3 linked regions of the Xenopus tropicalis genome follow. The protein of the gene in region 1 interacts with the protein of each later gene in a biochemical or structural test. Links are inferred from orthologs where the notes say so. Each region holds a gene or a part of one and is shown in the gene's direction. Other genes may lie near its edges.

Region 1 (4,226 bases):
TTATTCTGGGGATGTGTAGGAAGGCAAGGCACAGTGCCAAGTCCAGGGCTTGGGGTTTGTTTTATGGGATGTCCAGGAAGGGAGAGAATTGTATGGGGTCATTTTTTGGGTATATCCAACCTGTAGCCCTGAACTCCAGCCTAGCGTGTGCTGTTAGGGAATGGCACTTTTGGCTTCCATGTTGTAATTGGAGGACTGTGCAAGAAGTTAGAAATTCAGCCCTGTTTTCATATAAACTATTGTCATTTGTATTTAATTCGTTCTATATTCCTTATTTATTATGTGTTTTATTTTGGCTGGGGGTCAGGGGTCTAGGAGTAGCAGAACAACTTATATGTAAGGTTACTAGAGCCAGTGATTGGGTTAAATTGTACAACAGAATAAAATGGTATAACTGAAGGAACAAAAGCAATTAGCAAGATTGCTTTCTTTCTCTTCTGTTCTGGCCCTTGTCCTGTAAATTTTAGGGATCTGCTAAGCCTGTCCACACCTTTTGTGTCTCCCCACCCACAGCAGATCTGCTGATCAGAGTGGTTTCATATAACCGCCTTTGTCTACAAAGCACATTTTCAGCCTTTAGCCACAAAACTTAGTCCAGGCGTGTCAGTTTGGGGACCCCCTCCTTACCATGCCCTCCTGTGACCCCATTTAGATTCCTATTTTATGTTAGTTAACTCTTTTAGAGTCTCATGGAGATCTGAGTGCTGCTTAGCTGCCTCTGCTTCACCATACGTGCCTCAGAAAGCACTGAACTTCTTACGTGGTATAAGGGGTGAAATGGGCACTGCCACTGGTGCTGCCACTGTAGGAGTAAATGGGGTGAAGTGGCAGCGCCAGGTCATTTTATCCTGCATGTGGTAAAAGTTCAACCCAGAGGATAAAAGTGAAGTAAGGCCACTGAAAGGCACACAGAAAAGAGAATTCTATGGTGATAGTTTCTAAGCTAATTGCTGGGCAGTATTCTGATATTCTTTGGGCTGCATGCAATGCAACATTTGGTTTATATAGCACTTTATAAAAATAGAAAAAAGTATGTTGCAAGACAATCGTCAACAAAAGCGGCAACATTTTTCTCCACTTCAATTGTATTATTGTACTATACATTATAGAGAGCATATAAAATGTTATGCGTATTTTATTTTGTTGTGTTCAATGGATTTATCACGTGTAAAACATTGGCACAGACTTGTGTGGTTGTGAAACTATAGCTTTCAGCAGAATGCTGGGATGCTGGGAGTTAAATTTAAACAGCTGGAGAGTTTTCATTTGGACATCCCTGCTTTTAGCAAGCACTATTATTGTGTGCACCATGGGCCAAGAGAGGCGGGGAGAGTGGGGAGGGGGTATACAGTGTAGGTGTGGCCTACAGCTGCACATCAATGCCTTACCATTTCCAGCCCAAACCTAGAGACCACGTCTGCAGTCGAAGAGGGAGAGAAGGATAGTGAGGGGAACAGCGTAGTGGGGGCAGTAAGAGCAAGGATACAAGGAAAAAAAAAACTTGATATAACATGCACTGTGAATAACCTTTATAAATGACTCACTTTAAAAAGAGTTAACACATAGTTTGAGCTGTGAGGGGGGTTAAGGGGACTGAACAGAGATTAGTGGATAAGAAACCTATTCTTGCTCTGCAGACAACCACCCTTCAGAGGAGTTTTTACTCGCACAGGATGGAGCCTGTGAGAGCAGCCTGGATTTGCCTTTTTCTGTGCTCTGTATGCAGCTCTAGCTCCGCCAAATTCAGCCCAGAGGTGAGTGTACCACTGATAAATGGATCTTTTAGTGTACTATTTGTCTAATGTAACTTTCTGTAACCGTCTTCGCAGTATTTACTTTTCTAGACCCCCCCCTTTTTTTTCCTGGAGAAGCTGCTGTGGGCTCCCTCAGAATCTGAGGTCACACATGAATCCAGTTAGAGGCTGGAAATGAAATCTGGAAAGAATTCAATTGTGAGGGAGAGTTGGAAGGAACAAATGGAGAACAAGAATCAGACAGAAGGGAAAAAGTCCTGAAAAGCCAATAATTGAGATAGAAGGGGAAAACTAACTATGTGGGGCAGGGAATACAATCCAGATACTATTAAGCATAAAACACATAGAATCCCATTTGACTGTCAATGCAGTGTTGGGAGTTTTAGGTCAGTAACAGATAAAAGCCACCAGTTGTCTTTCCCTGAAATTAGGAATATGAAGGAGACAGTGGGCACTTTTTATCTATAGAAACAAAATCATATTTGTCTCTTTATTCAGGTATATTGATCACATATAAAATGACCCAACAAGGGTGACAGAAGGGGAAAATAATTGAGTTAGCAGATAACTGTAGGAGTAATCCGCAGAAGGAGGAAAATGAGGGAGGAGAGGTTTGAGGGAGGAGAGAAAAAGGGAGAGAGAGGCCACTCCAAGGATCTCCACTTCAACAGAAACCTTTTTCTTTCAGCTCAGTGTCCCAGGCAGCGGGGGAGATGAATTTAATAACAGGGTCAATCACTCTTTTCATTATAGATTTTGGAAATGGTGGGCTTTGTTCCCCACTACAGACCTTATATTATTTAATAGCTCGGAAAAAGTTCTCCACATAGGCACTATTTAGAAATGGATTTGTAAGGACTGTCTCATCAGAGTTCTGAATGTGACTTATAAGACTGATATAGTTACAGGTAAATATTACCTTTATCAAATGTAACTTTTTATGCTTATATTAAGTGAAATATCTTGGATCATTAAATTATTTTTGATTCATGTTTTTGCATTGTCACCATTTCCTCTCTCTGCAGTGAATGCCAGACTGACCCACCTTGTTTCACTGAGGCAAAATGTTAGAATGGTGCTGCTGACACTGCAGTGTGGGTAATAATGTTGTTGCTTAGTGTGGGCAGATGAACACTTCCATTTCCACTGGCTTCTTGGGAAGTCCTAGAAGTCACAAATTGCTTAGTCTGAGAATGTGGCTTGTAAGCCCATAGGCTTCAAAACATGTTATGCTGATTGGCACTTACAAATGTACTTAGTGGTTCCTTTGAGGGCACCACATTTTGGGTTTCTTTCTGAGAGTTTACAACAATTCTGGGAATATAACTATAGCAAATATTTGCTTTGGGGATGGTAAAGAGCACTAAATTAATTTCTGTACATCTAGTATCTGATGTGAATGGGATTGCCCTCAGCTTGTCTTTGTATGATCGCAGGCAATACACATAGGTCACTGGCATAACAGTACCAGAAGGTTGGGGAAAACACAACTTTTGTAAAGTTGTTAATGTTCACACAAATAAAGCTAAAAATGTAAACAATAGCCATCTATGGCTGCAACCATACAAGCGTCAGCTGAGACATTTGTTCATGCCTACTGCTGTGAGCATTCATCCAGCGTTTTCTGGAAAAATGCTGAATACTCAGTGTGAATTGACGCCCAGAGGCCAGTGCAGCAGTTTGGCTAGATAAGCCATTGTTTTTGGGCAGCTGTTGAATTCAGCCTTCCTGGAAATCATCAGTGATATATACATATAAGTGATTTGGCTCACAACAGTTTGCTTGAAGAACCTCTTTTCACATTGTTGTATCCACTACAAATCACACTACATGAAATGTAGACACACTGGGCCACTTAATCATCCATGTAGTCCTGGCTTCAGTGGGTCTTATCTTATATGAAACACTATATTTTCTTTCCAGAGCAGCCATGTACAACTTAATGCTGACATAGCCTGCTTACTTAGTAGGAGAAACAAAACTGACACTTAGGGGCACATTTAATAAACAATTTTGAGATAAATTCGTATTTTTTCTAAATTATAGAACATTTTGAGATGTACACGAAAATTTTGGTAAAATTCCACAAGTTTTTCGTGGTTTTCAGTAAATTCCATAGAAAAAAATCATATTTTTGCAAAGAATACAAACATTTCGCAAGTTAACGCTTTGGTTACACTTTCATCGGGACTATAATTTCGCCAGGTTTGATCTGTTGAGTCCTATGGAAGGCTTCAAAAGCCAGAGATGGAGGGCTTCAAAGCCAGAAATGTTTTTGTGGCGTTTACAAACTTTTTGGCCCAAATAATTTGGGACTTTTGGAAAAATATTGCAAAATTTTCGTAGAAATTATAAAAGCATTGTCGAGACATTTTAGAACTACAGAAATGATCGTGGTTACTTCAAATTTATACCATATCGACTTTCAAGGCCAGAAAAAAACGCATTTTAGTAAATGCACACAAGGCATTT
Region 2 (4,069 bases), on another chromosome or scaffold:
CAATAAAAAGACTTGAAAGCTAATTGTTCAGCTACTGAGGGCAATTACCTGTGCCAAAAATAAAAGATCTTAAGGGTCAGAACATTGTGGCAGTATCTATCTGTTAAACATTAAAAATATTGTAGATATAAATTCTTGACCGCTTTCCATGAAAATAACTGAAGTCAGCAAACCACTGATTAAATTCAGATTTTTGGAAGAAGTATTTTAAAGCTGAGACCCACATGTATATATAACAATATTTCTCCACCGGGATTCTGTTATTAGTTTAGCTCACAACATAAAAAATCCACAAAAATGTAGAGAGGAAAATATTTAATATTTTGAAATCAATGCCACAAAAATAAGGGATTTCCATTAACACTCTAAAGAATGCCATTTTGCATGTAGAATCAACCACTTTGGCAAGTATTATAAAACCAGGATGCTCTTCAACAGAGCCCAAAACCAAGCTGAAATACTTTCCATTTAATGTATGCCAAAAACGAGTTTGTGTGGAGTATTTTTTCTGCCATTAAGATGATGTGAAACAGTGAAGGAACAGGGCGAGCCATACTCATTGTGACTGTATAAGGTTTGTCATCTTTTGCTGATGCTTTGGGGCTTATTTATGACAGCAGGACTATAAACAGAATGGCTTTTTGACAAGAATCAAGAAACATGGGCTACTTCCATCCTGACAACATGATTTTGTTGCACCTTAAACCTGCGTTATAGTTCTACCCTTTGATGCACTACAATATGCACCATGCATGCAAGGATGGGATGTGTATATGTCTATATTTATAACTATATGCTTTAATTTGCCATCCTTATGCAAAATGTTTATGTGGACACTGCAGAGCTGACTTTGTTGCAATAATGGACACAACTGGCACAACTATTTTCAACATTGTCAAACAATAAATAACCCCCTGTATGTTCACGGCAGACCTACTGAAAAGAGAGCTGCTTTTTCATAGATGTTGCACATACAAATTTAGAAGCAAATGTCTTAAATCCCCAATAAAGTAGATAATGTAGTTTGTATTATAGAACTGTGTAAGCAGATACTTGAATATGCCTCGAACGTTCTCTCTTACTATGCAGATTTCTGTACTGCAAATAATAGCAGATGGGCTGTGCCTTCCCATTCTTCCACCTGCATTTACTCAGAGCTTCACAGGCCACACCACAAACTCACCATGATGACATAAGAGCAGTGGGACTAGGTTTTTTTTTTCTCCTGCTCCTTTCTTTTTTCTGTTCTGTATTACAGTGATTCTGGCAGGCAGTTCCCTCCTGACACTGTTTACAGCACTTGAATCAGTCTCTTAATCTGTATAGGGAATTAAACAGGACAGCATCAAGGTAAGTGATATTACAGATCATTATAATATAATTATAATATTGAGACTGGGTTAAATATATGTTTCAGTTTTCTCTACCAGCTTTGAAATTATCACCAGTTAACAGAATAGTTGCATTGCTGCTATTTTATTATTGTTTTTATTACTGTGGTTTTAACCATTTTACAAATAAGTGAAATATGCAGTGGTCCTACGTTTCAGAATGTTTTTTTACTGTTTCCCAAATGTCTTCAATTCATTTTCCAAAAGCTGGAATAATATATTCTTCTTTTTCTTCTTAAGCAGTTTATAAGTGAATGCGTTAGTGTCGTTGGCTTTTTTAAAGCATATTTCGCTTGAACAGAAATCTTTCTTTTGGTTTTTGCTGTGCAGCAAAGCTTTTATTTAAAGATGAATGAATGGCTGCAATCCAAACTTAACTGCTATGACTTCAATTACTTTTACTGCTGAATATTTTCAGAAAAATCACTATGTGAATGTGAGGATAAAATGATGCAACTTATAATATATTTACATACAGTAAATATTCAGAGAAGCTTGCAACATCCCTAACTTGCTTAATAAGTAATAAAAATGATTTGAGCAATGTTAGTGCACTGTCATGTGAAAATAAGGAGATGCTGGTGTCGAATCACTCTGTGTAACTAAGGCACAAATCTCATTGTTTTGCACTTTTTTTGTTAACCTCTCCCCCCAGCACATGCACAAACATATCAAAACATATTAAAAATTAATACTAAAATAATTCAATTGCTAACAAAAATCTTTCCTTTGCCAAAAATATTTGTAAGTGATTTGTTTTTGCAGCAGGAAAATTAACATTACGTTACAGGCCAGAACCTATACTGCCCCTGCCCACAACATTTTTGTAATTAAGAAAATAAAATATATACATATATATTATTATTTTACACTTTCTGTGGCCATGAGATGGTCTGTATGAGATAGGCTATTAACTTAGTGTGGTGAATGTTAAAAAATTTACCATTTACCATTTATCAAACCTGTAGAAAGAAGAAATATTTTTTTATCAAATGCTGCATAATTAACTTGGTTAATTTAATTTGGTGTAAGAAGCTTAGAGATAATTTAAGGATTTAGTGAACAATGGGTTTTCATTTTCCCCTACTAATACCCATGTGTTCTTTAGTTAACACCTGTGGAATGGCTGTGCATAACTGCATGCCATCAATTTGTACTTCTTCCCCTCCCACAGAAGGTGGGACCAGAGTATTTATATTAATGGCATGCTCTTACCTGACTCAGCACTGCTTGGACATCTTGGGACCTATTTATTATGCTGTGGAAAACAAAATTCACCAAACAGTGTAAAAAGACGTGTAAAATAAATGGCAAATTTCTCCATCCAAATGCCAGATTTTGCACCACTATTTTACTTAAGTTCTGGTGGTGTTTTTTTACATAATGAAGCCTGGTGATGTGTGGTTTTACATAGCATAATAAATAGGCCCCTTACAGTATGGATTAACCTGTTTAAGAACAATTTCCATCAACACTTCTTACCTTAGCAGTTTTCTGTGTTTACTGCTACTAATATATGTGTTACATACTTATGTAAATTAGTCACTCAACACACACTTGTATGTAGGAAACCAAATCAAATAATAAATTAGAGAAAATTCTTATAATATGGATTCATGACATACTTGCCTAAACTTGTACTGTGTTTTTAGAATGAACCATAACCTAAGTTATAATGGTCAAATGTAAAAAAAAATAATAGGAATTGTGGAGGCTTTAAACATACATTGTGTAACAGATGCTACAGTTTGCAGTTATGACAAAATAAAATGTTGAGAGAAGAGATGCATGCATTGACTATGAATTGGCTCACAGGCTGGTTTATATTTATTTAAAATCAAAATTCAACCAGTAATTGCTATAAATCAGTTTCGACTCAAAACAATCAGTGTGCATGCAAGGTCACTACGTTTGTGAGTTACAGGATATAGAAGCTACAGATGGTAGAGAGCGTTTATTTACATGTATTTAGAACAACTTTATAAATGCTCAGTAAAGATTATGATGTTGCCATGTGAGTTAACAGTTCTTAGTTTATGTTGGTATATATTTTTATGATGTTTAAAGTTAGCAAAAATCACTTACTATACAATATAAACAAACACTGAAAAACACATATCAGTTTAAAAAATGCATATAGCAGAGCTGCCATTGCTTATTTGTCATTGAGTCTGGAAGGGGGTGTATGTCTTATGTTGATGCTGATCTGCACCTTGGAATGGTTGCACTGTTGAATCGTCCCCAAAACACAGCAAATGTCTAACTTACTTGAGTAAAATTATTTGCCAATTTAAATTATTGTTAAATTAAATACAAATCTAATTATTTGACATGGAAATAGAAACTTCTAAGGTAATATTTAAAGTAATCTTAAGTAAATATTTTAACTGTAATACGAGTCTCCACTGCATTCCTGGTACCCCTCTCTCCCCAACCCTATGGGGCCTGCTGTATGGTAGATTGTGAAATAGAATATAATACAGCTGTATGGTCTAATTTATGAGTTCCTATTACATTGTATTATTAATCTAAACAATTGCACCCTCCCACATTGATCTTAAGGAACAAGTGTTATTTAACTGGCACAAACAGCCATTGTGTTTTATTATTAAAACAGCATTGCCTTAGAACAGGGATCCCCAACCTTTTATACTCGTGAGCCACATTCAAATGAAAAA
Region 3 (4,088 bases), on another chromosome or scaffold:
ATCCCTAGATACACAGGTATAGAATCTATTTTCCAGAATGCTTGGGACATGGGGATTTTCCAGATAAGTCTGCTTAAAATCATTAGACATTAAATAAACACAATAGGATTGTTTTGCCACCAACAGAGACTCATGCAGCTTAGTAACCATTATTTACTATATATGTATTTTTTTCAATATATAAAAACTAATACATTATATTATACTATATTAGAGATATATTACATTTAAAATTGCATTGAAAAATCCCTAGATACACAGGTATAGAATCTATTTTCCAGAATGCTTGGAACATGGGGATTTTCCAGATAAGTCTGCTTAAAATCATTAGACATTAAATAAACACAATAGGATTGTTTTGCCACCAACAGGGACTCACGCAGCTTAGTAACCATGAAGGACAAGGTACTGTTTTATTATTGCAGAGAAAAGGGAAATCGTTTTTAAAACTAAAATGATTTTCTTAAAATAGACTTTATGGTAGAGGGCCTTCCTGTAATTCAGAGCTTTCTGGATAATGGATTTTTGGATAAGGGATCCCATACCTGTACAGCAAACATAAAATGATACACTGTACATAATGTATACCTTTCTGTGTGTAGTAAAAGATTCAGTTGCTGCTCAGTTGAGCAAGGCCCTCTAACAATCTTTCCTTATGCAATAGGTATTTATCAATTCAGGTTTCCTGTTTGTAATATCACTGTAAAAGTACTGTGAAATGTAAGTAGTATCGGCATAGACTAGAACTTTCCTACGAGTTCTCAAAGAAGCCTAACGGAAATAAAGAAAAGTCTTTAGTGTTTAGCCAGCACTGCTGAGCCCTGTATCCAAAGTTTAGCCTGATGCTAAATTGCATTTCCTTGGATTATGTCGCACCCCCCCCCAAAGCCCACTCTTAATTTTCCCTCCTCTGGCAGCCCTCAGCCCCTTCACCTATTGTTCTGCAGTCTGAGGAAGGGAGGGGGTGGGAGTGGGGCCACGCTCACAGTAAATGTGTTCACCCAGAGCATGTTATTTCAACTTTTCCCTCCTGCAGAGCAACTCTTGGCCTTCACAGAGGCAGGGCCTACACAAGTCAATTACTTTGCTTTTTTTTGGGTGGCACAAATTAGCCCTCATCTATATGACACGTGTTTCTAAAGACCCTGATGTCTCTTGGAAACACATCCCTAGCATCTCCCCCAGCCCTCTCTGTATCCTGTGGCTGACAGCCCAGGAGGAGGAGTCTGGGTGCACACACAGCAAAGCTCAGACAAGAGACGTACTTTGGAACATTAGCTAATCCAAGCTAGCGGTTTGCAGCACATTGACATTCCGATACCAACGCTGGCTGTGCAAACGCCTTGGAAAATGCTGGCAGCTCCGGTTTCCAGCCTGCTGCTCCCTGTTGCTATGCTTGTTCTTATGTGGCCATCACAGAAGCTTTCTGAAGCCTGCAGTTGCTCACCAGTGCACCCTCAACAGGCCTTTTGTAACGCAGATATAGGTAAGGCCTTGGAACATGGAAGAAAATGTTGATGTGTTCAAAGCTGCATGTTATATGTTGTTTGGTTTATAGCTGTGTTAGTTAATAGTCACTGTTGCCAGTCAGGTTGGTACCAGGCCCAGTGAGTATAGCCTCTACTGCTGTGCTCTTCTGAGGTGGTGTCATTGGAATCTCTGTATAGTTGTTCCATTTTTGGACCAGCCCTGCAGCAGGGAGGTATATTAGATACATTAGAGAATACAGACATGGGCAGCAATGTTCCAGCCATCAGCTGTAATACAGGTATGGGACCCATAATCCAGAATGCTCGGGACCTGGGTTTATCCGGATAAGGGGTCTTTCCATAATTCAGATCTCCTACCTTAAGTCTATTAAAAAAATTATTTAAACAGTAATTAAACCCAATAGGATTTACAGTCATTATAACATGTAAAATATATCAAAAGGCATCACTTGAAAAGTAACCCATATAAGTGGTTGTAAAGGTATGGGACCTGTTATCCAAAATGCTTGGGACCTGGGGTTTTCCGGATAAGGGATCTTTCCGTAATTTGGATCTCCATACCATAAGTCTGCTAAAAATCATTTAAATATTGAATAAACCCAATAGGGCTGTTCTGCCCCCAATAAGGATTGATTATATCTTAGTTGGGATCAAGTACAAGGCACTGTTTTATTATTACAGAGAAAAGGGAATCATTTAACCATTAAATAAACCCAATAGGGCTGTTCTGCCCCCAATAAGGGGTAATTATATCTTAGTTGGGATCAAGTACAGGTACTGATTTATTATTACAGAGAAAATGGAATCATTTAACCATTAAATAAACCCAATAGGGCTGTTCTGCCCCCAATAAGGGGTAATTATATCTTAGTTAGGATCAAGTACAGGCACTGTTTTATTATTACAGAGAAAAGGAGAATCATTTTTAAAAATGTGAATTTTCTGACTTAAATGAAGTCTATGGGAGATGGCCTTTCTGTATTTAGGAACTTTCTGGATAATGGGTTTCTGGATAAGGGGTCCGATACCTGTACTGGCCTCCCAGGCCAAGTCAAAGACCTTCAACTTCACAGCCATGAATGAAAGACTTTTGTCCTAGCTGCTAACTTTGTACTTTCCAGGCACAGATCTATGTTTTGAGCATTTGTGCCTGAACATTATCATTGCTCCTGGTGTCTGGTTGTTTTAGCCAAAAGTGATGCAATCCTTACACCCCTCTGACAAAACGTTCATGCTAGAATTGTAGTAAGGACACTCGTTGGGATTGTTGTGAATGGTGGGTCGCATGGTCTAGCAGCACTGTTAGACCTGACAGTGCTCAGGAATGATATGTGGTTTGCAGTGTTATGAGCAGCCTGGGTTTACTTTAGACCACTATAGAATAGATCAGTCCATCTGCTGGATGTTGTAATTCAGCAACATCTGGCAGATCAGTTGTGCTATGCTTGATAAAATCTGGACCCTGTAAGACCTCGGTAATGTGTTGCTTTGTATTGATTATTAGAGAATTATTATAATTGACTTTTATTACATTTTATCTGCATATCTTTACCCTGTAGCATTGGCCATTCGTTTTTCTCAGATGTGAGGCAAATGATATTTTTAAGTCTCCATGATTTTCTGTGACTATCACCAGTTTCTTACCACTAGATGTCACTTTTTTAGTATCAATTTTAGGGATGTGATCATCACATGATGTACCATTTTTATAATTTCTTTTATTTAAAAAAAAATAAATGCTTAAAGGGATACTAACATAACAAAAAAGCTATATTTGTACCTAAAATGTTGGGTTCTGGACTGGGTCTAACTCTGAGACAGGGTTGTACATGAGTGTAATAAGTGAATTTCCTGGTTACGGTAATATATATTAAATATATAAAAAGAGCAACAAGAAGGATGTATGGTAATTGTTATATATTGCTGGGGCCACTGAGTCACTGGCCGGATCACTAGAGAGTATACAATGCTGTACTTGAGTGTAGTGAGTAAATTTCCGGGTTCGCATGTGACTGTCATTACATTTGCCTAGAAAGTAAAAAAAACAAAAGAAACCTTATTGTACTGTATTGCAGGAATCCTATTTTTATATAAAAAAAAAACAACCTTTGTACCATAGGATGTATGGTCAGTGCCATATATTTTTATAGAAAAAAAAATGCTGTTGTTTCAGTTGGTTGATGACCACCATTGTGTTCTGATAGCAGATTTTTAATATTGATAATATTTTCCAATATAATTGACTAGGACTTTGAGAGTTAACTTATGCAGGATGTCCCCAAATAAAGACAGTTTGATGGCTAAATAAAAAGGCCTAAATGGCTTGTTATCTAGCCTTGTCTACAGCTTATGGCTTAATGGGGTGATTCACCTATAAATTAACCTTAGTATGTTATAGAATGTCCTATTCCTAGCAACTTTGCAATTGGTCTTCAATGTTCATTTGTTATAGTATTTGAATTATTTGTCTTCCTCTGCTACATCTTTCCAGCTTTAAAAAAAACTTTGCTCTGTGATCTTATTTTATTATTATTTTTACTTTGTATTACTTATCTTCCTATTCATATTCAAGTCTCTCATTCAACCTACTGCCTGGTT

The links.
Region 2: the proteins of mmp14 (region 1) and lum interact in a biophysical measurement, tested with the Homo sapiens proteins (2 studies listed by BioGRID and IntAct, with this or other methods). The link is inferred for Xenopus tropicalis from reciprocal best matches to the Homo sapiens genes MMP14 and LUM.
Region 3: the proteins of mmp14 (region 1) and timp2 form a complex in vitro, tested with the Homo sapiens proteins (2 studies listed by BioGRID). The link is inferred for Xenopus tropicalis from reciprocal best matches to the Homo sapiens genes MMP14 and TIMP2.

Annotation. Positions count from the first base shown.
Region 1 is NC_030677.2:140,076,232-140,080,457, forward strand, and holds the start of mmp14 (matrix metalloproteinase-14 precursor), read left to right. Parts: upstream 1-1,426; 5' UTR 1,427-1,673; coding exon 1,674-1,754; intron 1,755-4,226.
Region 2 is NC_030679.2:55,472,078-55,476,146, reverse strand, and holds the start of lum (lumican precursor), read left to right. Parts: upstream 1-1,269; 5' UTR 1,270-1,350; intron 1,351-4,069.
Region 3 is NC_030686.2:22,380,979-22,385,066, reverse strand, and holds the start of timp2 (metalloproteinase inhibitor 2 precursor), read left to right. Parts: upstream 1-1,288; 5' UTR 1,289-1,350; coding exon 1,351-1,486; intron 1,487-4,088. UniProt on the Homo sapiens protein: Complexes with metalloproteinases (such as collagenases) and irreversibly inactivates them by binding to their catalytic zinc cofactor. Known to act on MMP-1, MMP-2, MMP-3, MMP-7, MMP-8, MMP-9, MMP-10, MMP-13, MMP-14, MMP-15, MMP-16 and MMP-19.